7 linked regions of the Ovis aries genome follow. The protein of the gene in region 1 interacts with the protein of each later gene in a pairwise test. Links are inferred from orthologs where the notes say so. Each region holds a gene or a part of one and is shown in the gene's direction. Other genes may lie near its edges. The genes, in order: MTUS2, SPG21, RPA1, FAM124B, PKP2, THAP7 and SDCBP.

Region 1 (4,089 bases):
GCTTCAAATATTAACTGGTGTAAAATACTGCTTAATGTGGTAGTTAGGACAAAGACCCCTAAAAAGTTGAAAGTCAAAGTGTTAGTCGCTCAGTCCTGTACAATTCTTTGTTATCCCATGGACTGTAGCCTGCCAGGCTCCTAGATCCCTGGAATTCTCTAGGCAAGAATAGTTAAGTGGGTGGCCATTCCGTTCTCCAGGGGATCTTCTTGACCCAGGGATCGAACCCAGGTCTCCCCCATTGCAGGCAGACTCTTTACCAACTGAGCCACCAAGAAAACACTTCTAATTAGGGCGGGGACAAGCACCCACATTTCATTTTTATAAAGGCAAAGGCTTATCCCACTGACATTTGAACCCGAGGCAGCGGAAGTTCTCTGACCTGGCTCACCTCTTGAAGCCTGCCGCACGAACTGCTTAGGGAAGCCGGGAGCACTTATTTGAGAAATAAATCAACATATTTATTCCCGAGAGGCTCTCTGGCACCCCCTCGACCAGTGTTAGCCGCCTTTGGTGTTTATTAGACACAGATAAACCCGATTCTCGAAAGAAACGCTTGCATTTTTCGCAAACCTTTCCAGAGGTCAACTTGGGGCCCCTCCTGCATCAGGAGTCCCAGTGCCCTCCACGTTTCTCGTGCTGGGTCCCAATTCCTGCTGCAGCTCATACTGGAAGCTGTTCCCAGGGGAGAAGAGCAGACCCCCCCCCCCCCCCTCCTCGAAGCCCCCTGCCCCCGGGGGCGCCGGGACGTCGGGGGGCCGTGGCGGCGCGGAGCCGGAGCAGGACGCCGCGCGCACGGCGGCCCCGGGGCCGGCAGAGGGCGCTGCGGCCTCCCCGGCGGGGCTGCGGGGCTGCGGGGCGCGGGTCCCGGCGTGTGCATCTCGGGGAGGCCCGGACGGGGAGCGCGCCTCTCCGCCCGCCCGCCCGCGCGGTCCCCGCCGCCCGCACCTCTCCGGCCAGGCGCGCGGGTTGCGCGGCGCGCTCCGAGGCCCGCGCTTCGCCGCACCCCCCTCCCATCCCGCTCCGCCGCTTCTCTTTGTCCCGGCAAGGCGGCCGGAGGGGCGGCCGCTGCATCCGTTGGGGGGCTTCAGCCTCCGGGTCCGCGCTACCCCGCCTTCCCCGCGCTCCGAGCCTGGGCGGTGCCGGCGCGGGGTGAGCGCGGGGCGCGAGCGGGCGTGGGCGGGCGGCGGCGGGGACCGCGCGCGGGGGGCGCCCCTGCCTCCTCCGCCCGCGCCGCCGCCGCCGCCGGCTTCTCCCCGCAAGTTTGTGGCCCCCCCACCCACGTCTGCGGACCTGCGCGGCCGCTTGGCCGGGTCTAGACCTGTCGCCAAAGAGGAAAACTCGAGCTGGAGGCGGAGGAGGCGTGCGGGAAGCCAGTCCGCAATGAGCCTCTCCATCAGGGCAGCGTGGCTTCCTGGGCACCTCCCGAGGCTATTTCCCACCCAGGTGAGCGGAATCTCCTCTGTCCCGTCCGGCCGGGTCTGGCGGGGCCCCGGGGCCGGCGCTCTCGGACCCTGCGCGGAGCCGGGGAGCGCCCGCCGCGGGGGCGCTGGGCGGCGCGGGGTTGATTTGGGCTTTTCTGCCATCCGAGCGCTTGTTCTTTCTTGCCTGCATCACCTGCTCCGGCTGAGGTTTTTTTTGCAGCTCCTCCGGCACCTTCGCATGCTGTCAGGTTAAACATCCTCTGTTTTCGAAGGGCTGGTAGGTTGGTTCAACCGAATCCCTACCTCTCTATCCCCCACCCCCACCCCAACAACACCCCCAGCTTTGGATAATTTGTTCTGCCTCTTCGTCTTAATTTAGTATGAATGTGTTATTTCCTTTGAGCTGTGTAATGGTAAAGCAGCGAAGCGGTTTGCTACATCCATTTTTTTTCTCTTTTTTTTTCATTCTGAGCCTGTGCACAGAAGGAATTTCAGGCGCACAAGTGATGTTACTACCATTCTATTTTAAATACAAACACGGAAAGAAGTACTCTTGGCAGGGTACCAAAGGCGCCTGTACTCTCTGTTATATAAGTGCTTTTTAAAAAAATATTTGCTCATTGGTAAAGTTATAAAAGGAATTACCAGAGCATCTCTGAAGAGAGGGTGAAGAGAAGTCAGAGCCACAATTTCTGCTTTAAACCTAAACTTTCCTGGAAGATGAACATGGTCTTAGCTGGAGATAGCCTTAAAGATAACATAGGGCCCTTTCTTTGAACTCATTAGGTAAAATTGTAAAACGTTAAAAAAATAGAACAGTTTTGTAAAGGCTCTTGAGAGACTTGGTGAAAATTCTTGAACCACGTATTGATAGTAATAAAAAAGATCCCACAGATATTCTTTGTGGCTTTTAAACTAGTGACTTATTTTATTTTTTATAGCTGATGGAAACTCAGTAATTATGAGCTGCCAGTTATTAAAGATTTAGATAACCTTTAATATCTCTACTTGTGTTTATGGATATTTTTTTTTTTCAGGGAAGAAGACAGAAGTAGGAATATCAAGTATACTGATGTCTGGGCACTTCCTTTTGTGACCGGCACCTCAGTGTTCTGTTCTAATTGGGTTTTGGTGATGCTGTGATATTTGGAATGTTAAAAACTCCCTAGTGATTCCAATCTGTAGCTGAGGTGAGACCCATAGGATAGCACTGTTTCTTCTAATTTGTCACTTTGTAGCCCAAGGTGTGGCTACAGTGGTTTAAAGAAAGTAAAAAACAAGTGGTTAGAAATATGGGGAGAGAAAAATGGTATAGGAAGGGAGATATGTTGAAGAATTATAGCATGTTCACGTCTGTATTTTGTCAAAATATCTTCTTGATTTTTAAAAAATCCACAAGGAGTAGTTGATATTGTTGTTTAGTTGCTAAATCATGTCTGACTCTGTGCAACTGCATGGACTGCAGCCCGCCAGACTCCTCTGTCCATGGGATTTCCCAAGCAAGAATACTGGAGTGGGTTGCCATTTCCTCCTCCAGGGGATCTTCCCAACTCAGGGATCCAACCTGCGTCTCCTGCGTTGGCAGCTGGGTTCTTTACCACTGAGCCACCAGGGAAGTCCCCCAGTAGTTGATGTTTATCGGGATACATGGTCCCCTGTTGACTAAGTTGGGAAGTGGGACATCTCTCTGTGCAGAAGTGACAGTGACGTTGAGTCGTGGTGTCAAGATACTCCTTTCTGTTTACATGGAAAGACGGTCAAGATTTATTGAAAGATCATTCTTTCTATCACATTCAACACTCATTAAGTGAATACAGACTAGCCAAAAAAGTGCAAAAAAGCTTTTATTGTCTTTAAGTTTGGAAATAAACTTGGCTGCTGAATCAGTGTTTTCTTTCTACCTTATGTAATTTCCCAATATTGCAGTCTAGGGGTGGATCTTATGGGTGGTTTGTGAAGGCTTATGTAAGAGCTGCGACTATGCTTTTCGTATTCTGTGAAACTCCCTGTTTTGGCTATTACATAATTGACACAGTGCTGGATGGGAGAAGCCCAAACAGGGAAAGGATGTACAAGCCCAGCCCAGCACAGGCGCTTTCATAATGAATCGCTGCTGCCAAATTAGAGGGAACAGCAGGGATGGAGGTTTGTGAAAGAGAGATAAGAACAGCGTCCAGAGGACCGATGTAAGAGACGACAGTTCTGCTTAGCGGTTTTCTGGAGATTTTAATGCTGCCGTATTAACCTCTCTAGCCTTTTGTGTCTCCCAGCAGAGGCGCCTTGACGGGGAAGCTAATGAATGTTAAGCTTCAGGGGCCCTTACTCTGGCTCCATCCAAGCCCCCGGGAGGGACACTGGCAGCGTGCTCTCCTGGCCACAGAAGTTTGCATTTGTAATTGTGGATTTTTTTTTTTTTTAATAAGGAAGACACTCTCTGCCTCTCACCTCCCATACGTCATATAAATGTAAGGCTCTACAAACCCTGAATCTCCCGTTTCCTAATTAATGTTCAAATGTTAACTTTCAAAAATGCTTTTTCTTATTTCAACATCTGAAGTCTTATGAAAAGACAAAAAAAAAAAAAAAATCTGGCCAATATTGTAGCTGAGCTGCCGAGAAAATGCAGATTGCTAATAGCAGGGCTGAGTGGTATTATCAGGAATCC
Region 2 (3,500 bases), on another chromosome or scaffold:
ATGACCAAGTGGCTAACATACTTTCACTTGCGATTTGATGACTATCTTTAGTGTTTTGTTTGGATCAATTTTTCTTTTCTATGTGTATCTATTGTAGATTTTTGGTTTGCAGTTACCATGAGGTTTTGATATAGCGTGCTCTCTCTCGCTCTCTCTCTTTCTCTCTGTCTCTCTCTGTACATACATACACACACACACACACACACACACACACACACACACACACTATTGTTCTAAGTGCTGGTCTCTTAATTTCAAATGCATTTCTAATGTCTTGCATTGTAATTCTTGCTATTTGGAAAGGAAATTGATGTGAATTGAAATTGTTGTATATGTAGTATCACTAGAGTGTGATTTTTATTTTTATTTTTTAATTGTTCTGTTAGATAAAATTGGAATTTTGAAGTCTAGGATAAGATGAGAGCTTATTTTCCCATGTTTTGAAAAAGGAGCAGAGATTGAGCAAATGAGAAACACTGTTGTGAGAGCCCTAAAGTTTTCAGATACGTATGAATTGTATTTTACTTTTACAGTTTTTAAAATAAATTTAAAACTTGTTATATTCTAGTTGCAGTATCCAGTTTATTGGGACCACCTTGAATTCTGTGATGGATTCAGAAAACTTTTAGACCATTTACAGTTGGATAAAGTGAGTACCTTAAAACTAGTTACTCACATGTGATTTTATTTATTTATTTTATTTATTTTTTTCACATGTGATTTTAATGCAATGATTACATCATTGTCTGGTGTTGTCTTTTATTTTTTAATAACAGCTCTTTTGAGCTAGAATTCACATACCATACAGTTTACCTTTTTAAAGTGTATAATTCACTGTTATTTAATATATTCAGAGATATGTGCAATCATCACAGCAGTCAATTTTTGAATATTTTTTCCACCCCAAAAAGAAACCCCATACTTAGCAGACACTACCCTGCTTCCTCCCTGGAGCCCTGTCTGTGGATTTGCCTGTTATGGATATTTTATATAAATATAAAGATGTAATTTGTGGTCTTTTGTGACTGGCTTTTTTCACTTCTCACGAGATTTTCAAGGTTCATCGATGTTGCAAATTCTATCAATAATTCATTCCTTTTAATTGTTAAATAAAATCCCATTGTATGGATAAAACACATTTTATTTACCCATTCATCACTTGATTTGTTTTCCACTGGTTAGTTTTTATGAGGGATGTTGCTATGAACATTCTTACACAAATTTCTGTGAAGACAGATGTTTTCAGTTCTCTTGAATACATGTCTAGGAGTGGAAATACTGAATTACCGAATTAAAATTTCTGTTTTCTTAAACAGAAACTGCAAAGTAGTTTCATTTTCTAATGTAATCTGGAAATAATATTTTTTTTAACTACTATAACTTATGCACCATTGTATTGTTTCTTGACAGGGTATAGACATTGCATTTAAACACAGTATTTCCTAAACTTCTAACTGCTGTAAATATTTCAGTCTAATGACTGGTGATAACATTATATTCTGTGGTTGGTGATAATTAAAACAGTTTTTTGATACTTAAAGATCAGTCATTGTTTTTAGGATCCTTGTGTTTGTTTCCGATTAGGTTCATCTCTTTGGGGCTTCTTTGGGAGGCTTTTTGGCCCAAAAGTTTGCTGAATACACTCACAAATCTCCCAGAGTCCACTCCCTCATCCTCTGCAATTCCTTCAGTGACACCTCTATCTTTAACCAAACATGGACCGCAAACAGGTAAGAATGTAAACCTTCGACCAACAGTTTTGTTATTTTCAGTGGAATTGAAAATGGTGATGTTTGGTTTTTTTGAAGCATTAGGGAGGGAGGGGCCATATATACTTTTGTCTTCTGAAACCATCCTGGCTTTTAGCATTAGAAATGGTCACCCTTGCAAAGGAAAAGAATTGAAAGAATTCTAACTTCAGTGGTTCCCGTTACTCTAAATCATCGCCTGGCTTTGTGTATTATGGTTCCAATGCCTTTACAGTTTCCCTTCAGAGCTTATCTCACTGATACTGTGTTCTGCTTGCTCCACTTAGTATTTTGTGTACAGAGTTCTGTGTAATGACTGTTACATTTTTTTTAAGACCTTGGGCTTCTCTCAATTTTTCATCAGGTTCAACTGTAAATCTTTGTGTGTAAATTACTTTTGTTCTTCTCTTTCTGGGTCATTTCCTTGAGATAGGTTCCCCGAAATGGAGAGACTGTTTAGTTCGCTGGCACTTGTACAACATTAGTCTGCTTTTTAGAAAGATGGAGAGGGCAGAATGTTTTGCAAGGCAACCAGTGGGGTACCTGCTTTCTCTGAGCCATCCCTTCATTGATTTTATCATTTGAATTAGTTTTATAGATGTCTAATGGTACCTTAAAGCTGACTTCACTATATTTCTTTCATTGCTAGCAAGGCTAGGCTCTACCCCCCAAAAGTAGCCTATTGACTTAACTTACCTGAGTGATCAGATTGGTTTTCACAAAATGTTCTAGGTAAACATTGTTTTCATGGTTTTCACAACTATTTACTATTGCATTCTGATTTTTAAAAAAATGTTTCCTGATGTTTTCTCGCTTGTTTACTCAGCATTTGTGCAGCAGTTTCTTGTATGCATTAGACAGATACTTCATGTCAATATGATGCAAAAATCGTTCTTTTTGACGAGTTTTTCATGTTGTTTTGATTGTCAGAAGCCAAGATTTCCCCCACTTGGTGCTCTTGCGTATCAGGAATTTTTTTATCAAATGTCTGAGTACTTACTATGTGCCACACAGAGGCTTCAGGGGTGAACAGAGCCAAGAGGATGACCACCCCTCCCACTCACCCACAGAAAACACCCAGGCAGCATCCCCTTTAGAAGTTAAGAAGCTGTTGGGATGGGTTGGAGTTGAGAACTTAGATCATTGAAGGTGACTGAAAGATGGCTAACTGGTCCTTATGAGGGGCGTTTACTGAGAATGTACATCAGAAGGTGGTCTGTACCTTTTATAAGTTATTTTCAGCATAGGTTTAAAAAAATTCATGTTTATCCTATATAAGGGCTCCCAATGTAATTAATGGAGTACACTCTTAACTAAAGATCACATATAGAAATACATGAAGACTGAATTGCCTTGAATTAGCCCAAGAATCCACTAGTAGCAATAGTAGGTATAATAACTCTGTGATTTTACTATTTTGAAATCTATCCTTTAATGTTAATCAAAGGGTGATATAAACCTTCAGATTAATATAGTAAGTGTTCAGTTTTCCACAAGTAGCTTAGCCATTGAAAATAAGACCAACTAGAAAATAAAATCTTGGAATTATCAGAATGTTTATTGCAATAAAGGCATTTTGAAATATTGCTTATAATTATTCCCAATCCTCAAAAGTTTGATCATATGAAACCATAACTCTTTGGGAACTTGAGAAAGCATTTATAAAAACTAGATGCTTCAAAACTAGCTCTTTGAAGGAAGAGACTGGGTTTTTTAAATCTCTAAATCCCAAATGCCTAGTTAATACAGAGA
Region 3 (2,880 bases), on another chromosome or scaffold:
GTGTTTAAGAGTGTTTAGTTTTTTTCTATTGTGATAAAATATCCGTAAAATTTACCATTGTGAGTGAGTGAGTGAAAGTCGCTTAGTCGTATCCGACTCTTTTGCGACCCCAGGGACTATACCAGTGAACCAGTAAAGTTGCTCAGTCGTGTCTGACTCTTTGCAATCCCATGGACTATAGCCTACCAGTCTCCTCCGTCCATGGAATTTTCCAGGCAAAAGTACTGGAGAGGGTTGCCATTTCCTTCTCCGCTGGATCTTCCCGACCCAGGGACTGAACCCAGGGAAGCCGCATGGACTATACAGCCCGTGGCATTCTCCAGGCCAGAATATGGAGTGGGCAGCCTTTCCCTTCTCCAGAGAATCTTCCCAACCCAGGGACTGAACCCAGGTCTCCTCCATTGCAGGTGGCTTTACCAGCTGAGCCACCAGGGAAGCCCACATGTATAAGTTCACCGGCATTAAAATACCTTCATATTGCTGTGCAGCTGCCACCATCATCCAGCTGTAGAACTTTTTCATCCTCCTCAGCTGAAACCCTGTACCCATCAAACACTAACTGTCTGTTGCCCCTGGCAGCCATCATTCCACTTTCTGTCTGTATGAAATTGAGTACTCTAGGTAGAGTATTTTAATTTTTAATAAAATTCTACCTAAACAGTTTTATGCGATGAAATGTCACCTATATATTAGTCATTCCTAAGAAATTTCAAGCCACTGGGAGGTAATCATTTTCTCAGAGATTTTCCTCCAAGTCTTTTTAAAAACCGTATAGATAATTTAAGGTGGTCTGGTAGTTTCCATGCTGACAGTTTTACGTTTTGTTTCTGCAGAACGAGCAAGCATTTGAGGAAGTTTTCCAGAATGCCAACTTTCGATCTTTTACGTTCAGGATCAGGGTCAAACTGGAGACCTACAATGTAAGTAGCGTCACCCGTGGTGCGTGAGGGTAGCAGCATAGAACTCTCGTCTGTCACCCACAACCCCACTACAGTGTTAGCTGTCAGTTCCTCGCTTACTGTGTTCCAGACCCAACTCGTAACACCCTGCATGTATTACTCACTGAGTCACCAACATTAGGGTGCTGTTACCATCTCTGTTTTCAGATGAGCAAACAGACCAAGAGAGAGGTTAGGGGTCATGTCCAGTAATAACAGCCAAGGAAAACATGCTGTGTGGCCTTTTCAGTTAAAACCTGGGGGATTTTGGTTTGTGTCCTGACAGACACAAACCCCATCTTCCCCATGGTTTGGGTTCTAAAGTCAGTATATGAGAGAAAGACCACATGTGGTTAACATTACCTTGGAAATTCCTTTAATTGCTCATAACGTCATACAATTATAAAATCATGAAAAAACAGCCTTTATTGAGTGCTGACTATCTGCCAGATACTGTTCCCCACCCTTTGCATACTTCGTCTCCATTCATCCTAGCAGTAACCCTGTGTGAAGGAACTGTTGTTGCCTGCATTTTGCTAGTGAAAAGCTGTAGTTACGGAGAGTTGAGTAACTTGCCTAAATTCATACGCTAGCAAGTGGCACAGCTGATAATTGCATGTAGGCAGTCCAGCCTCAGAGCTCTACACATGCTTAGAGATCTGACTGGGTTTTGTAGGTACAGAGCTGGAGTGTGCAGGCCCTGAGCTGGCCTCACCCCAGTCTGCCTCTGAAGGCACTGTCCAACCTGGTGAACAGGCGACAGGAGAATTCAGAAAACCTTGCTTGTTTCAGGATTTGCTTGCTCTGCTTTCTTGTCAGGCCTGAACCCTAATACCTGCTAACAGCTGTGCCTGGTTTTGTGAGCATTAAATGAGCCTTTCGATGTCAGCAGTGTGGTGTCAGGGTGGGGTGGGGGTGGTCGAGGGGGAGGGGTGGAAGGGTCACTGGTCCCTGTGTGGCGTGGGCAGGGGTGGTGAAGGGCAGCAAGGTCGCCTCTCACGGAGCTGAGGCAGGCCGAAGCAGGCTTCGCCCTCTGCTGCGAGCACGGCTGCTCTCCTACCGCCCGCTCACAGAGCCCGTGGCGTAGCTTTAGCAAGCCACTGTCTTCTGGGCTCCCGTTTCTGGCTCTGTTGGAGTCCAGGTTTCCGAGTGTCTGGGACCATGAGGAACCGGTGCAGGGCCTTTGCCCCGGTGCTCATCAGCACGGCTCCTTTCCTGGGCTCTCGGGACTCTGAACCACCAGCATGTCTTCGTGCTCTCTCCTGTTGGGGTCACTGAAACCAGGAGCATGGCCACAGGTGTTTCTTCCATCACAAATCGTTCTTCTCTTTTCAAAGGATGAGTCTCGGATTAAGGCCACGGTGGTGGATGTGAAGCCTGTGGACTACAAAGAATACGGCAGAAGGCTGGTCATGAACATCAGGAGGAACGCGGCGATGTGAGAGGATCCTGCCAAGGGGGCAGGAGCGTGTGGATAGAGGGCTGATTGAATCCCCCCCCCCCCCCCACCCCCAGCCTCCACGCGCACCACCATCCCCGCCCCGACTGACAGCGGTGCAGAGCACCCCTCTACCACAGACTAAGCCATCGCCTCTCGTCACACCTGGGAACCCACTGACAGCAAAGGGAAATACGCTCGCAGGGCTCTGGTGTAAACCGTGTCAGACCTCGGGGTCAGCTGCACAGACTGTAGTGCCACTCACCCCCTGTCCTTAGGCTTTTGTCAGTTTTACTAAGATCTCGTTATTTTCAACCAGAAATTATGTCACAGGAAATTGACCCTCAATCTGTAGACAGTGAACTAAATTATGTAGGCAGGGTTCCCGCTTCTCCAGTGGCGACACCTTCTCAGCTCGGGCCCCTTCCCAGGGGAGTGCTGAGAAGTGGTTTTGTGGAGGAACTTGAGTGTTTTAGGAAGCCTGTCTTCCTTGATTTCAAAGGC
Region 4 (4,058 bases), on another chromosome or scaffold:
CCAACCCAGGGATCAAACCCAGGTCTCCCACATTGCAGATAGATTCTTTACCAACTGAGCCACAAGGGAAGCCCAAGATTACTGGAGTGGGTAAACTATCCCTCCTCCAGCGGATCTTCCCAACCCAGGAATTGAACTGGGGTCTCCTGAATTGCACTAAAAGCATTAATAAATAGCTTTTTAAAAATTACAGTTAGAAAAATGTGCTTGTCTACATTTTTAGTAGCACAGCTATCAGAATTCCTAATGATTTTTAAATGGATATTTAGAACACATTAGGGTAGGTGTTATGTTTAGAGCTTGGGTGTTATTGAGTATTAGCCATGCCTTCCTCCAAGGGATCTTCCCAACCCAGAAATCGAACCCAGGTCTCCTACATTGCAGATTCTTTACCATCTGAGCCATCAGGGAAGTTTGTATATTTAGAGCTTGGATGTTCTTATTGAGGATTATTCAGTTTGAGATTCAACAGCACACAGAGTCTCTGAGAAATAAATGTCCTTAATGAGAACTTGCTTGGGCAGCCTTTCCTTATATTCAGGGAGAAAGTCCAGTCTGGGACATCTGGGTCCCAGAGAGGTACCTTCTCCCTGGCTCACAGCGGGGCCACTCACTCAGTTCCTGGATTCAAATGTTCCCTCAGCCGCTTTTAGCTCTGAGACCTTAAGCAAGTTACGTGACTTTTCTGTGCCTTAGTTTCCTTCTCAGTAATTTGGGGACAATGGTCTCTTCATAGGTTTGCTGGAGGATTAAACCAATTTACGTAAAGTTCTAGAACAGTTTATGACTGGTATGTAGTAAATCCTCAACAGAGTGAACAAAGATTATTATTGACCTTAGAAAGGTCTCACTCTTTCTAAAGAATGGGCTTGAGTAAATATCTTTTGAATACACTTGGCAGCAGAGAGAATCATTTTCAGTGAACAGTTAAAATTATTTGGATATAGTAACTTCTCTTCAAAGCCCAGGCATCCATTGTTCAAGAAGAAAATAAAAAGACAAAGGGGGAAAATTCCTGGCCAAGGGACAAGTTGGGAGGATTGTTTTAAAGCAGTCATTGTGTTCAGGTGGCCTGGCGGGCTACTGTAAACAGGGAGGGAGGGAAGGAGGAAACCAGAACCCATTGTGGGCCCAGAAAATGGATGTCTTTTCAACTAAACAGATTGCTATCAGCCTCTCACAGCCGATTCTTATTCCTTTTTGCCTGGTCATTTCCTTTACCGAGTGTCTGTAAGAACCACCCACTCGAGTGTTTCTCAGGATTATAGGTTTTTAGGTCAAACAGAAACCCCGGAGTGCCTGACACAGCCCTGCACTCGCAGTTACATTATACACCGGCTGGATGACATGGACCCCGCTGCTGGTGTGTGTCTCATGGAGGCTATTGTCCCCGAATCTGTGGAGATTCTCTCACAGTGTGGCCAGCAGCAACCAGGCATACAGGATAAGAGCGTGGCTCTGAAGTCCTGAAGCTTTCCTGTTGGGCTGAAGGCTGAATGTAGGAACCTCCCACCCCTCCAGTTCATTTCAGAAGCCGGACCTGCGGGCCCCATTCGCCAGCATCCTTTGTCATCCTCAGCATCCACGATGGATGAGATACCGGAGGCCCCGGCCATGACTGTCCACCTCCTGGCCAACGCGGGGCAGGGCTTGCTTTTGCAGCAAACCCTGGATCGGCTCCTAGATTGCATTTGCCCAGATATCCGTCTCTTTCTTGTGTCCGAGCGGGCCAGTCCAGTGAAATACTACGACAAGTGCTACTCCAAGCGGTCACGCTTCCCGGGGATGTCTGTTCTGCTTTTCTTGCAGGAGAACCTAGGCGAAGAGAGGCTTTTCCGCGTGCTTGACTCCCTACAGCATTGGCCGTGGCAGTGCTACCCCACGCAGAACGCCCAGGGAAGACCCTGCCCCTACATTCTTGCCAATCAGGAATTCTACAGTCTGGACAGCCAGATGCCCATCTGGGGCGTGAGGCAGGTGCACTGTGGCACCGAGATCCTGAGAGTGACACTCTACTGCAGTTTTGATAACTACGAAGATGCCATCCGGCTCTACGCAATGATCCTGCAGAGAGAAGCCACCTTGCAAAAGAGCAACTTCTGTTTCTTCGTGCTCTACTCCACTGAGACCTTTGCCCTGCAGCTCTCCCTGAAGCAGCTGCCCCTCGGAACATCGGTGGACCCCAAAGAGGCTTCAGTGTTGCAGTTCAAGGTCCAGGAGATTGGCCAATTAGTGCCTCTTCTACCCCATCCCTGCGTCCCCATCAGCCGCACCCGGTGGCAAACACAGGACTATGACGGCAACAAGATTCTGCTTCAGGTATGTCTGTTTGGTCTCTGTGATCTCTAGATGCCCGTGTAGCCGTATGATTTGACAGCCAAAATCATGTTGTGGTTCTCAACCTTCTTTGCATACCAGGATCTCTGGGGAGCTTTCAAATCTTCTCATGTCATGACTTCACTCCAGATCAGTTAGACTGGAATCTTTGGGGGCACCCAGGCTTGGGTATTTTTTGAAAGCTCCTTGGATAATGCTAATATATAACTTATAGCACAGTTGAGAGTCACTGGTTTAATCAAATCCCCTCATCTGACAGGAGAGGAAGTTCGGATGCTGTGAGCTGGTAACTTACACAAGTAGTTTGCAGTAGACTCAGACAACGTCCCATTTTTCAGATTTTCCTGTAACCATGCTCCTTAACTAGACACCAATATTTTGCCCACTCTTTCAGTTCAGAAATTTCGTTAGTTCTTTCCATGTGAACCTAAGAAAGCTGAAGTTATGATTAAAGTTGGGAATGTTAAGTATGTTGGGCTTCCCTAGTGGCTCAGTTATAAAGAATCTGCCTGCCAATGTAGGAACGTGGGTTCGAGCCCTGGGTTGGGAAGATCTCCTGGAGAAGGAAGTGGCAACCCACTCCAGTATTCTTGCCTGGAGAATCCCATGGACAGAAGAGCATGGTGGGCTACAGTCCATGGGATCACAGAGAGTCAGACATGACTTAGTGACTAAAACAATAACAACAACAAATGGTAAACGTGCCATCCTGTTGACCTAACTATTAAGTATCTTGCATCACTCTGAAATTTTATCCCAAATCAAGTTAGATGGTTAGAACCCTTCAAAATTGAGAAAAGCTTGAATTAAAAAATCTTCTGGTAAGCATCCTACTGAAAGCAAGCATAATTACAGTTACCACAAGTCATTTCTTATACAATATTATGTGACAGTTGAACCTTGCCACTTAGTAGCTCCATGATGTTTGAACCTTGTTTCCTTCGTTAGCACAATGAGGGTAGTATAACATCTTCCTAGAGGACAGGTTGTTATTTAACTAAGTGACCTGACATTTATAAAGAGCTTAAGCTAGTGCCCAGAAAGCAATTTTAGCTGTTATTGTTTATATTATGCCCTGCTAAGTTGCTAAGTTGCTTCAGTCGTGTCCAACTCTGTGCGACCCCATAGACGGCAGCCCACCAAGCTCTGCCGTCCCTGGGATTCTCCAAGCAAGAACACTGGAGTGGGTTGCCATTTCCTTCTCCAATGCATGAAAGGGAAAAGTGAAAGTGAAGTCACTCAGTCGCGTCGGACTCTTTGCAACCCCATGGACTGCAGCCTACCAGGCTCCTCCATCCATGGGATTTTCCAGGCAAGACGACTGGAGTGGGGTGCCATTGCCTTCTCTGATACTATGCCCTAGACTAAGTACTTCACTTTGATTATTTTAGTTAGTCCTTCTTACAACCTAGGAAGTTTTACAAAAGGCAAAACCAAGGAGTAGAGGTACCAGTTACTTGCTCAAGACACAAGATTAAGTGTTTACCTGGCTCTGAAACCAGGCAAGTTAACCACCACAGTCCAGTACTCTGTAAGTGTGTGTGGGCAGGGAGGTGTACATGATATTCACAGCAAAGTTCCTGTCCTTGAGAAATGGTCAGGAAGTGCTTTAAGACCTACTGGATAAGGTAAAAGCAGGCTAAAAGATGAATTATCTTTCCCTTTGATTAATTTTATTCTCATCAGCTTTGAGTTATTAATAAAATATGAGTCATACTGAT
Region 5 (4,212 bases), on another chromosome or scaffold:
GGAATTGCATAGAAGACCCACCATCTACATGGCTTCACATGGCTTCCCATGTGGCCAGCTGAGCAAGGATGGCAGAATTGTTGCCACTCCAGTTGTCCAGGCTTTGGGCCCCTTCACTTCCTATTCATCCCCTGGAAGGCCTTATACTGTGCTTTAAGTGTGTGTGTAAAGACAAAAGGATATGCCATAGGAAAACGGAGACAGGAGAAGCTGTGTTCTCTAGCCACCAGAAACCTGAATAAGTGAGGTTCTGCAATAACTCAGTGATTTGAGGTAGAGTGAACATAGAATCCCAAGTAATCAAATGGAATTTATCTTATTACCGGGGATAGATGTTTTTCCTTCTGCCTCTCAAGTCCAAAGAGGGAAAGCCGGATGAGTGACTTAATTTGAAAGCTTTAAGGTCAAGGGCTCTTTCTGTTAAGTTTAGCTCATCATGTTCTCTGCAGTTAACGAAGTGTGAAACACAACTAATAGCAATACATTGTGGAATACACGACTGAAAAGTCATAGACTCCTTCCATGGGATCCCTACAAAGAGTCTATCATAAAAAGGACTTTAAAAGTATCAGCTATTGAAAGCGTGCTTGCTCTCTTATCGGAGCTTCTCTGTGTGGGAGTGTTCATAAGAGAGGAGTGGGTGAGCAAGACTGTACTGGGTACAATTTGTGTATGTGCAAGAGAAAACAGAAACTCTCAGTAAGGAAGAACATATGTTTCCGGGACTGCATCTGCGCAAAAAGGACAGTCCCTGAAACTGTACGAAGGGGGAAGAAAAAAAAAACTATTTTAAAAACTCATTTATTTCACACAGATCGTCTTCTCAGCACATTTCCCTCCTACTGCCTTCTTAAGCCTGATCAAATAGCCCCTTCTCATCTCAGATCCAGGAAATGTTTCGAACAGTCTGACAGAGCCTGACTGAACCAGACAGACTACTCCCTCGGAGATCCCAGAGGCAAACCTCGGCCCAAGAACAGCACTGACCCTCCAGGGAGCAAGTGCCTGCAGGTCGACCCCGGCAGTCAGGCGGAAATCACGTCGTTCTCGAGGGCTAGGCGGAGGCCAGGCGAGGCATAGAGAGCGGGGTGCGGCCCCGGCCCGCAGGATCCGAGATGACTCGGAGAGTGTGCACGCCCCACGGCGGACCGCGCCCCTCTCCCGCTTCCTTGTGAGCAGTTCAACTCGCCAGGTGTCGGCGCGCGAGGTCCGCTCGGCCCAGCTCCCTAGCCGAGTGCTAGGCGCGCTAGAGCCGCGCCCCTCTCCTGCCTTAGACCCAGCTCCGGCCTCCGAAGGCCCTGCTCTCCTCAGCTCCGGCCTCTCACCGGCGCGGGGGCGGGGCCGGAGGCGGGGCCGGGGCGGTGGGGCGGGGCTTGCACGGGTGCCCCGGGCTCCGCCGCAGCTTCTCCCGCAGGTCTCGCGGCAGGCAAGCGGCTTGGTCCCCAGCTCCGGCCTCATGGCTGCTCCCGGCTCTTCGGCGGAGTGCGGCTACATCCGGACAGTCCTGGGCCAGCAGATCCTGGGGCAGCTGGACAGCTCCAGCCTGGCTTTGCCCTCCGAGGCCAAGCTGAAGCTGGCGGGGAGCAGCGGCCAGGCGGTCAAGAGCCTGCGGATCCAGGAGCAGGTGCAGCAGACCCTGGCCCGGAAGGGCCGCAGTTTCGCGGGCAACGGTGAGTGCAGCCCCGCTGTCCCCTACACCGCCCTCATCCTGCCCTTTATCCCTTCCCTACTCCCCGTTCACCCTCAGCGCCCGGTTGCTTCCTCTTGCTTCTTCCTGAGGGTGCAGGACCCGGGTTCTGCACACCTGTTGGTTGCCGGCCCATTGTACGGCCAGTCGTGCCTCCAGACTCAAACCAGCTTACTTTGGAAAAGCACTCTTTCTTAAAATTACCTCTTACTCAGATTTGTCATGTATGTATCTACGTATATTAAATGCATATACGTGTGTATAAATATATATATTTGAAAAGAATTCAGTCCAAGATTTTCACCCCTTCCTTAACCTACTCCCCTAGGCCGTCCACCCCAGGGGACTTCATCTGAAGGTTCCAGGAATTTGTAAACACTTTGAAATTCTGTGCAGAAATTTGATATAATCATTTTTTTCTGGGAGAAAGCGCCCTGAGCTTTTATTAAAATTTTTAAAGGATCTGTGACCTCCATAAATATTTTTCAAAAGAAAACCTGAAAGTACTGGCTCTCCTACAACCTATAAATTGGGATTGTGGGCCTTGCCTAGATACTTCGGGGCACTCCACCTCGTGTATGGAGCGAGTGGTTTCATCTAGGAAGTGAAAGGTAGGAGACTTTGGGCTGGGGAGCAATCACACCACCCCGCGGGTTGACTAGGAAGAGGAGAAGAAAGAAGGGGACTTTGACCCGGCCAGCAGCAGTCCCGCCTGCCTTGCTTGCTTGTGCCCCGCCAACGCACTCGTGAGTACAGCGCTGGTATTTACAAAAAAATTAAACTTTGGAAGTGAACAAGGTTTGGTGGTTTTTTTGTTTTTTTGTTTTTTTTGTTTTAGTAATTGATAGTTAAGGAGGTGGAAGGGGAAGAAGATGGCAAACCAGTTCTGAAAATTAGAGAACGTGAAATACCTTTTCTCTCTTGCTAAAAGTCAGATGATCAGAGCCCCCCAGTAATTATTTTATTAGTTGTTTAATTTTTTAATATAAAAGTATTCTAGGCTTGTTATGGAAAAGAGAAGAGGAAAGAAACAGTTAAGTTGGGTTACCAGTTGTTTCATGCGATGTTGAACTGTTTGTCTAGGAAGTTAACTGGAGAAATGACAACTGTAGAATCGATTAGGAAAAAGAAAAATGCTTGCAGACCAGATCAGAGATCTAAAACCGCAGAAACTGAGAGGCTGTATTGTTTTCCATTTGTGTAAAATAATTTTAAAGGGTCAGGCAATCAGTATTTACGTACTTGAAAGGTAAAGAGAAGCTGTTTAATGATTAGAGTTGATATAATTGTGTGCCTACTATGTGCCAAGAATTGGACTTTGTGGTGTGTATTCATTATGTTATTTATGTTTCCAGGAAAAAACAATGCTTGTGAGGTAGGTTGCTTTACTAAGCAGTTAAGTAACAATTTCCCACAGATAGTAAGTAGCAGAAAAACTCCCAAGCCTTAATTTTTAAACTACTCATCAGTTACTTTGTTAAGCTTTTTGGTAATTAATACAAAGTAGGATTTTTATTAGACCCAAGCCTGTCTATGGTCCATTCCCATTTTTCCTTTAAATATAATTGATAAAGTTCTGCGAGAGTGGAGACATCTCAGTGACACAGAACTGCCATAGCACATGGAAAAAAAGAACCTAATTTACATTTAGGAATCTGACTAAAGATCCCAGGACAACTGAGGCCAGTTTTTGACCAGTGAGATCATTGTACCCCTTTAGTCTGTGCGGATCCAGTGCTAAACTGGAGCCAGACTAGCTGCTTCTGCATAGGGGAACGCAAGGAAGGCACATGAAATATTTTTCCTACACTTTGAGAATGGCGAGGAAGAGCAAGCAGACATCAACTATTCAGTAAAAATAGGGAATGAACAAAAGGAAAGGGAGCATTGCTGAGCGTCTACTCTGTGCCTAACCCTGTTCAAGATTATGTTTGCATTTTATTGTATCCTTCAAATAGTTACATGAAATAGATGCGAGGATCCATTTCACATATGAAAAGTCTGTCAGTCTCTCAACATTTATTGGACGCTTAGTTCCAAACCCACACATGATTTTTCTCTTGAAAATGGTGCATTCATGTTGTGTGGTGAATTCAAGAACTTTCTGTTGTGTCTAGTCTTCATCCAGGGCACTGCTGCAGGTGCTGAACTAAACATACACTCTTTTTGCTTTAAAGCAAGGAGTTCAAAGTCTGTAGAAGGAAAATGCTCTCTAAAAAATGGGTTAATCAAATAAAAAATGGCAAGCTACTCAAAGGAAGAACAGCCAACAAATTATGAAGTTTAGAAGTATGAGTTAGACTATTATCTGGAGGGAATTTTGAAAAGTTTCTTGGAGGAATTGGGATTTTAGGTCTCAAAAAAATCAGTAGGATTGGACATAGGTAATGGGTTGAAGGAAGAGTGTTCTAGGGGGAACAGCAGGAATATTACACAGTTCACAGAATTGATATGGTAGAACAAAGGGCCCTGTCATGATGCTTCTGCTGTAACTGCTTGAGTCCAACTGAGGAACAAAGCTTCTG
Region 6 (3,639 bases), on another chromosome or scaffold:
GAAGACAGTTCACCCCGACGGTGTCGAATCCTCACTTGTGAGTCTGGGTGTGGCGTCACGTGTTGACGACCGTCTGTCACCATTTTCCTGGAATCTTTCCCCACGTTTGTATTAGGTTTTCTCATTATAAAAGTGTGTATGTGGCAAGATATTTTAGTCATGCAGAAGGCTGAAAAGCTCAAGTCCCTTCTAGAAGTGAAAACGTGGGATATTAAACTGCCAGATCCTGCCGAAAAAGAGAGTACCCGTTCCTACAGGGCGTCGTCTGAAGTGGGTCCATGGCCCCCATGCTTAGAAACGAGCTACCATTTCCGAGGCCTCACTCCCAAGTTGAGCATGTTCTCTTTCTCCGGCAGGTGGGCATCAACTACCAGCCCCCCACGGTGGTCCCGGGGGGAGACCTGGCCAAGGTGCAGCGGGCCGTGTGCATGCTGAGCAACACCACGGCCATCGCCGAGGCCTGGGCCCGCCTGGACCACAAGTTCGACCTCATGTACGCCAAGCGCGCCTTCGTGCACTGGTACGTGGGGGAGGGCATGGAGGAGGGCGAGTTCTCGGAGGCCCGGGAAGACCTGGCGGCGCTGGAGAAGGATTACGAGGAGGTGGGCGTGGACTCGGTGGAGGCGGAGGCCGAGGAAGGGGAGGAGTACTGAGGGGGGGGCGCGGCCGCAGCCCTGCACCCGGTCCCCCGACGGCCCCTTCACAGATGTTTCCCTATTAAAGTTTTTGTGTTGAGCATCATCTGTGTATTGCTTTGCGGGAAACGGTGTTCCTCCCCACGGCAGTGTGGCGGCAGAGCCGCACGTCTGTCTGACTCTGCCGAGCGTCACCGGGCGCGTTAACCCGGGAAGGAGCGGGGGCGGAACCGGGACGCGCGCTCCACCTACACACGTCGGGTCAGCGAGCTCCTCGGGGCAGGAAGCGGACCCGAGCGGGTCTGCGGATCGGGGCCCGCATCGCGCGCCCCGGAGCAGCGGCGCTGGAGCCACCCCCAGCCCAGGGCAATCCCCGCTGCCGGCACCACCCGGATGCGGGCGGCCTGGGCGAGGCCCGCGGCCCCTCCCGCCGCTTCCGGGGCCCGCCCCTCAGCGAGCGCCGCGCGCTTCCGCGTCTCTATGGTCCCGACTTCCGCGGCTCGGCAAACCTCGCGAGACCTCGGCGGCGCCGCAATGGCGAGACCGTGAGTGCCGCAGACAGGAGTCGGAAGAGCGGGCTGGGGCGGGACTCGGCGAGGTCGGGCCGGGGAGACTCTCCAGGCCGCGGCCGCCGGAGCGGGGCGGCGGCCTGGACCCCGGCGGCCGCTGAGACCGAGCGCCCGCCTCTGCCCCAGATGCCGCGTCACTGCTCCGCCGCCGGCTGCTGCACACGGGACACGCGCGAGACGCGCAACCGCGGCATCTCCTTCCACAGGTCGGCGCGCAGGGCCGCTTGCGCATGCGCCCGCCCCGCCGCCGCGCACGCGCCTTCGCGCCGGGGGCGGGGCTCTGGCGGGGCGCGCAGCGGGCGGGGGCGGCGCCTGCGCTGCGCGAGGATGCCGGGCGGGCCTGTCTCCCCGGGAGCGCGCGGGCTGGGTTCGCAGGAGGTCCGCGGGCGGTATGAGCCGGGCGCACCTTCCCGTCGCGCTCACGGGCTCGCGGCCCCCGCAGGCTTCCCAAGAAGGACAACCCGAGGCGGGGTTTGTGGCTGGCCAACTGCCAGCGACTGGACCCGAGCGGGCAGGGCCTGTGGGACCCGGCGTCCGAGTACATCTACTTCTGCTCCAAGCACTTCGAGGAGAACTGCTTCGAGTTGGTGGGAATAAGGTGAGCCTCCTGGCAGCCGGCGGTCGGGAGGGCGTGAACATGGGGCGGGTGGCCGGTGGGGAGGCCGCCGGAGTAGCAGGTCTGGTGCTTCCCACCTCGTCACCTCAGCTTCCGCTCCAGGCGGACCTGGGCAGCGAGACCCTAGCCCCACGCCTGCCGCACTGGCCACAGGCGGAGCGCGCTCCCTGCAGCCCCAGCCCTCCCAGCAAAGGCGCGGAAGAAACCCGTCCTTCTGCCTGCTGCTCCGGTGGTGGGGGGGCCCTTAACTTGGGAAACTCCCTGAACTCATTGTCGGCACGCTGCCTCCCACTTCCTACGGAGCCAGGGTGGCAGGCTGCTCTGCCGCCTGCAGTGTGGCAGGACTGTGTTCCGTCTCATCCAGACCACTCTCCCCGCAGTGGGTATCACAGGCTGAAGGAGGGAGCAGTTCCAACCATATTTGAGTCTTTCTCGAAGTTGCGCCGGACCAAGACCAAGCGGCACGGTTACCCGCCGGGCCCCCCAGAAGTCAGCCGCCTGCGGCGATGCAGGAAACGGTACGTGCTGTCCCGCTGTACAGCCCCGGAGGGACCGGCCTGCAGGGTGCTGGCCAGCAGCCTTCCTGGGCGCGGCTGGGAGCCTGTGGAGTGGGCTCAGGGATGGGGGTGAGCGGGGCTGTGAAGCGGGTCAGGGCGCGCTGCGCCTGGCCCGGCGTGTCAGTCTGTTTGTCTCCTCCCAGCTGCTCTGAGGGCCCGGGGCCCACCGCTCCATTTTCCCCTCCTCCACCTGCTGACGTCGCCTGCTTTCCTGTGGAAGAAGCCTCAGCACCTGCGGTCTTGTCTGCCTCCCCAGCCGGGAGGCTGGAGCCTGGCCTCAGCAGCCCCTTCTCCGACCTTCTGGGGCCCCTGGGCGCCCAGGCAGATGAGGCGGGCTGCAGCGCCCAGCCCTCCCCAGAGCGCCAGCCGTCCCCCCTGGAGCCGCGGCCCGCCTCGCCCTCGGCCTACATGCTGCGCCTCCCGCCGCCCGCCGGCGCCTACATCCAGAGCGAGCACAGCTACCAGGTGGGCAGCGCCCTGCTCTGGAAGCGGCGGGCCGAGGCCGCCCTGGATGCCCTGGACAAGGCCCAGCGCCAGCTGCAGGCCTGCAAGCGGCGGGAGCAGCGGCTGCGGCTGCGGCTGACCAAGCTGCAGCAGGAGCGAGCGCGGGAGAAGCGGGCCCAGGCCGACGCCCGGCAGACGCTGAAGGAGCACGTGCAGGACTTTGCCATGCAGCTGAGCAGCAGCATGGCCTGAGGGGCCACCTGGACAGGGAGCTGCCCTGAGCCGTGTCTGCCACAATAAAGGGGATCCTCAAAAGAAGCCCTGCTCTCTGGCTCAGCGGAGCGTTGGGGCCCCGCCCCCTGGGTACCACGTCCATCTCCCCCGACTGGCTATAGCCCGCTAGAGGGCTCGACCCTGCAGTCGCGGTGATCCCCAAGCCCCCAGGCTGGCCGAGGCCCCCCTCACTCAGGCCGTTGCCGAACTTCCTGTGCCTCCAGGTGAGCGCCCCTCGACCGAGCCTGTCCACCCACCCGCCACCCCCAGGCCCGCCAGTCAGGCTGGAGGTGTGGCAGGCCCTGTGTGGATCCTGGGGGCACAACCTGAGGCAGGAAACGAGCTTTAAGGCTCAGAAGACTGTTTTCCCCTAAGTGGCTTCCTGGCAGCCTGGGCACAAGAGCTGTTGTTCCCAGAAGGGGGGCAGAATGGTGCCTTACCCACTGGGATGGACGCAGGGCAGAGGATGGGGAGGCCCAGCCCCGCCCAGGCAGGAACCTCCAGGCAGCTCAGGAGTACGGCAGCCAGCAAGGGGCCAGGAGAGG
Region 7 (3,500 bases), on another chromosome or scaffold:
TCCCAAAGAAAGGCCATGCCAAAGAATGCTCAAACTACCACACAGTTGCACTAATGCTAGCAACGTAATGTTCAAAATTCTCCAAGCCAGGCTTCAACAGTATGTGAATCGTGAACTTCCAGATGTTCAAGTTGGATTTAGAAAAGACAGAGGAACCAGGGATCAAATTTCCAATACCTGTTGGATCATCGAATAAGCAACAGAATTCCAGAAAAATGTCTCTTCCTGCTTTCTTGACTATGCCAAAGCCTTTGACTGTGTGAATCACAACAAACTGGAAAGTTCTTAAAGAGATAAGAATAACAGACCACCTGACCTGCCTCCTGAGAAATCTCTATGCAAGTCAAGAAGCAACAGTTAGAACTGGACATGGAATAACAGATTGGTTCCAAATTGAGAAAGGAGTACAGCAAAACTGTATATTGTCACCCTGCTTATTGAACTTCTATGCAGAGTACATCATGAGAAATACTGGACTGGATGAAGCACAAGCTGGAATCAAGATTGCTGGGAGAAATACCAATAACCTCAGATATGCAGATGACACCACCCTTATGGCAGAAAGTGATGAAGAACTAAAGAGCCTCTTGATGAAAGTGAAAGAGGAGATGTTGGCTTAAAGTCAACATTCAGAAAACTAAGATCATGGCATCTGGTCCCATCACTTCATGGCAAATAGATGGGGAAACAATGGAAACTGTGACAGACTTTATTTTGAGGGACTCCAGAATCACTGCAGATGGTGACTGTAGCCTTGAAATTAAAAGACACTTGCTCCTGGGAAAAAAACCTATGACCAACCTATATAGCATATTAAAAAGCCAAAGTCCGTCTAGTCACAGCTATGGTTTTTCCAGTAGTCAGTTATGGATGTGAGAGTTGTAATATAAAGAAAGCTGAGCACCGAAGAATTGAAGCTTTTGAACTGTGGTGTTGGAGAAGACTCTTGAGAGTCCCTTGAACTGCAAGGAGATCAAACCAGTCCATCCTAAAGGAAATTAGCCCTGAATATTCATTGGAAGGACTGATGCTGAAGCTGAAACTCCAATACTTTGGCCACTTGATGCAAAGAACTGACTCATTGGAAAAGACCCTGGTGTTAGGAAAGATTAAAGGTGGGAGGAGAAGGGGACGACAGGATGAGATGGTTGGATGGCATCACCGACTCAATGGACATGAGTTTGAGAAAACTCCTGGAGTTGGTGATGGACAGGGAAGCCTGGTGTGCTGCAGTCCATGGGGTCACAAAGAGTCGGACACAACTGAGCAACTGAATTGACTGACTGAACACCTTATACTTGGTAAAATGTAGATAAACATTTCATTGGGATATGCTGAAATGGCAAAATAAATATTAGCAACTTAAGTATTTAAATTTTTAAGTGTTCTCCTGATATATACTTAGGTAAATATGGTTAAGCTTTTTTCTTCAGGTAAAAAAGGTACTTTTACTTAGACTAAAGTGTAACTATCATTTCTTAATGCATTGTGAAAATATTTGCAGTAGCACTATGAAATATTAGTTATATGTAGAATGGTGTTTAGTTTTTTAAATAGTGTTAAATATTTATATTTTTAATTTTTTATTTTTCTTTCAAAATATATTGCTAAAGTGTTTGAAATTAGAATTTCCTAAATAAAAGTAAAGGGTTTTAGGGGTTTTTTTAATTACTGGATTTAAGTTATATGAGAAGTCTTTTTAAGTGAGTCTCTATAGAGTGTTGTTAGAATTCTTTTTTTTTTTTTTAGGCTCAGACTGCCTTTTCTGCAAACCCTGCCAACCCAGCGATTTTATCTGAAGCCTCTGCCCCCGTCTCTCAAGATGGAAGTAGGTTTATTCTTTGGGTTCCTTCTCCTTGAACAGAGATACCTGTTAAGCCTTCTTTTACTAAAATAGAGAATCCAGAGTATATATATATTTTAACATTTATGGCATGAAATTGGCTGTTAAAGCTCTAGTAGTAAGTTTATTTCAAAACAACCTTTTAATCAAGAAAGTGAACTGTGACTATGAAAGTATGTTTATGACTTTATGAAAATTGTTACTTAAATTTCACCCTTTGCAAGTCCTTGACTCACTGAACTGTCCCCTGTCTTAGGGCTGTGGGGATTGATAGCGTTCTCCTTTAGGGGAACTTTCCAAATCCTGGAGTCTCTACTCTGACTCCATACCCTTCTCCTTTGTTCCTTTTCCTTCTAAATTCATAGGAATTCAGGACAGAACTCTTAAATAATATGACTTCAGATACAAAAGGTGTGGCAATCTCAATGGGGGGGGGAGTTGGGAGAGAATGGATGCATGTATGTGTATGGCTGAGTCCCTTTGCTGTCCACTGCAACCACTACAACATTGTTAATCAGCTCTACTCCAGTATAAAGTGAAAAAAAAAAAATGTTTTTTTTTAAATACAAGAGGAGTGTTAAATAGGTTTTTATGGCCTGTCATCTTATAACATTGTTTCCTTTGGAAAATCCATAACTCACATAAAGAGCTTTTGGAAATAGTATCTAACTCTACTGTTCAGTTAAATACTGTTAATACTGAAATGTACTGTTTCAAAGATTTCATTGCTGTGTATTCTTAAACTGATATGATAATAAATTTACAAGCGTTTTTTTTCTCACAGTTCATTTTTTTGGGTACATTTTATAGCTGTGTTTACTGAATGAATTAAAATGTAGCTGATTTGAAGTGTACATTTTGGTCAGTTGTTCTCAAGTGGAGAATCAGTGGTATGTGTAGAAAATTCCTAATAGGTTTAAGAGAAAGAAAAGGCAAGATAACTTGGAAAAATTATTTCTAGTCTTGAGTATTTAGAAGTCTGAGGTTTCAGTTAAAATGTCTTCATACTTTCACTTTTATTTTTCTGTTTTCCTTTTCTAATTGTCATTACAGAGAAAGGGGTTTTCCAGATTACTAATTTAAATTCATCCTAGATTTTATAAAATCAATGTGATTTTTAAAAATACAAGTAAAAGTCCATAATAACAATGTTTTTTTTAAATAGTCTACTAATTTTTTTTCTCTACTGATTCATTTGTTATTAGATCTCTATCCTAAGCTATATCCTGAGCTCTCTCAGTACATGGGCCTGAGTTTAAATGAAGAAGAAATACGTGCAAATATGGCCTTGGTCCCTGGAGCACCAAGTCATGGGGTATGTATAATGTAATTCGTTCTGAATTATATAAAATCATACCTTACACAGAGATACAAGCTAACTCGTCTTTGTGGCAAACTCACAAATTTATAGCCTTAGCATTGATCTCTTCTCAGGATTGCCTTCTAGGTATTGCTTTTTACACAGTCTACTTCCTTCTGTGCTGTTACCACTTTTCTGATTTATTAGGAGTTAAAGATACAGGTGCCTTTAACTGGTACATTCTCCTTTGTCTTCTGCATTTAGTTACAGACCTAGTGACTCTGCTTCTGGTGTGTTTCTTGTATTCATGTTATGCATTGTAGGCTTGCTGTAGCCCTGTCCATGATTTATACCTCT

The links.
Region 2: the proteins of MTUS2 (region 1) and SPG21 interact in binary tests that used the Homo sapiens proteins (3 or more experiments, as listed by UniProt). The link is inferred for Ovis aries from reciprocal best matches to the Homo sapiens genes MTUS2 and SPG21.
Region 3: the proteins of MTUS2 (region 1) and RPA1 interact in binary tests that used the Homo sapiens proteins (3 or more experiments, as listed by UniProt). The two-hybrid records come from large-scale screens. The link is inferred for Ovis aries from reciprocal best matches to the Homo sapiens genes MTUS2 and RPA1.
Region 4: the proteins of MTUS2 (region 1) and FAM124B interact in binary tests that used the Homo sapiens proteins (3 or more experiments, as listed by UniProt). The link is inferred for Ovis aries from reciprocal best matches to the Homo sapiens genes MTUS2 and FAM124B.
Region 5: the proteins of MTUS2 (region 1) and PKP2 interact in binary tests that used the Homo sapiens proteins (3 or more experiments, as listed by UniProt). The two-hybrid records come from large-scale screens. The link is inferred for Ovis aries from reciprocal best matches to the Homo sapiens genes MTUS2 and PKP2.
Region 6: the proteins of MTUS2 (region 1) and THAP7 interact in binary tests that used the Homo sapiens proteins (3 or more experiments, as listed by UniProt). The two-hybrid records come from large-scale screens. The link is inferred for Ovis aries from reciprocal best matches to the Homo sapiens genes MTUS2 and THAP7.
Region 7: the proteins of MTUS2 (region 1) and SDCBP interact in binary tests that used the Homo sapiens proteins (3 or more experiments, as listed by UniProt). The two-hybrid records come from large-scale screens. The link is inferred for Ovis aries from reciprocal best matches to the Homo sapiens genes MTUS2 and SDCBP.

Annotation. Positions count from the first base shown.
Region 1 is NC_056063.1:31,674,265-31,678,353, reverse strand, and holds the start of MTUS2 (microtubule-associated tumor suppressor candidate 2), read left to right. Parts: upstream 1-1,289; 5' UTR 1,290-1,446; intron 1,447-2,461; exon of another isoform or gene 2,462-2,614; intron 2,615-4,089. UniProt on the Homo sapiens protein: Binds microtubules. Together with MAPRE1 may target the microtubule depolymerase KIF2C to the plus-end of microtubules. May regulate the dynamics of microtubules at their growing distal tip.
Region 2 is NC_056060.1:11,887,484-11,890,983, reverse strand, and holds part of SPG21 (maspardin), read left to right. Parts: intron 1-568; coding exon 569-649; intron 650-1,584; coding exon 1,585-1,730; intron 1,731-3,500. UniProt on the Homo sapiens protein: May play a role as a negative regulatory factor in CD4-dependent T-cell activation.
Region 3 is NC_056064.1:22,831,594-22,834,473, forward strand, and holds the end of RPA1 (replication protein A 70 kDa DNA-binding subunit), read left to right. Parts: intron 1-833; coding exon 834-920; intron 921-2,275; coding exon 2,276-2,380; downstream 2,381-2,880. UniProt on the Homo sapiens protein: As part of the heterotrimeric replication protein A complex (RPA/RP-A), binds and stabilizes single-stranded DNA intermediates that form during DNA replication or upon DNA stress.
Region 4 is NC_056055.1:226,558,936-226,562,993, reverse strand, and holds the start of FAM124B (protein FAM124B), read left to right. Parts: upstream 1-1,258; 5' UTR 1,259-1,587; coding exon 1,588-2,319; intron 2,320-4,058.
Region 5 is NC_056056.1:182,512,061-182,516,272, forward strand, and holds the start of PKP2 (plakophilin-2), read left to right. Parts: upstream 1-1,412; 5' UTR 1,413-1,456; coding exon 1,457-1,670; intron 1,671-4,212. UniProt on the Homo sapiens protein: A component of desmosome cell-cell junctions which are required for positive regulation of cellular adhesion.
Region 6 is NC_056070.1:72,373,248-72,376,886, reverse strand, and holds THAP7 (THAP domain-containing protein 7), read left to right. Parts: upstream 1-1,140; 5' UTR 1,141-1,180; intron 1,181-1,330; coding exon 1,331-1,410; intron 1,411-1,646; coding exon 1,647-1,802; intron 1,803-2,200; coding exon 2,201-2,338; intron 2,339-2,520; coding exon 2,521-3,073; 3' UTR 3,074-3,139; downstream 3,140-3,639. Other genes in the region: tubulin alpha-3 chain, read left to right, coding at 357-653. UniProt on the Homo sapiens protein: Chromatin-associated, histone tail-binding protein that represses transcription via recruitment of HDAC3 and nuclear hormone receptor corepressors.
Region 7 is NC_056062.1:37,739,715-37,743,214, forward strand, and holds part of SDCBP (syntenin-1), read left to right. Parts: intron 1-1,749; coding exon 1,750-1,828; intron 1,829-3,048; coding exon 3,049-3,158; intron 3,159-3,500. UniProt on the Homo sapiens protein: Multifunctional adapter protein involved in diverse array of functions including trafficking of transmembrane proteins, neuro and immunomodulation, exosome biogenesis, and tumorigenesis.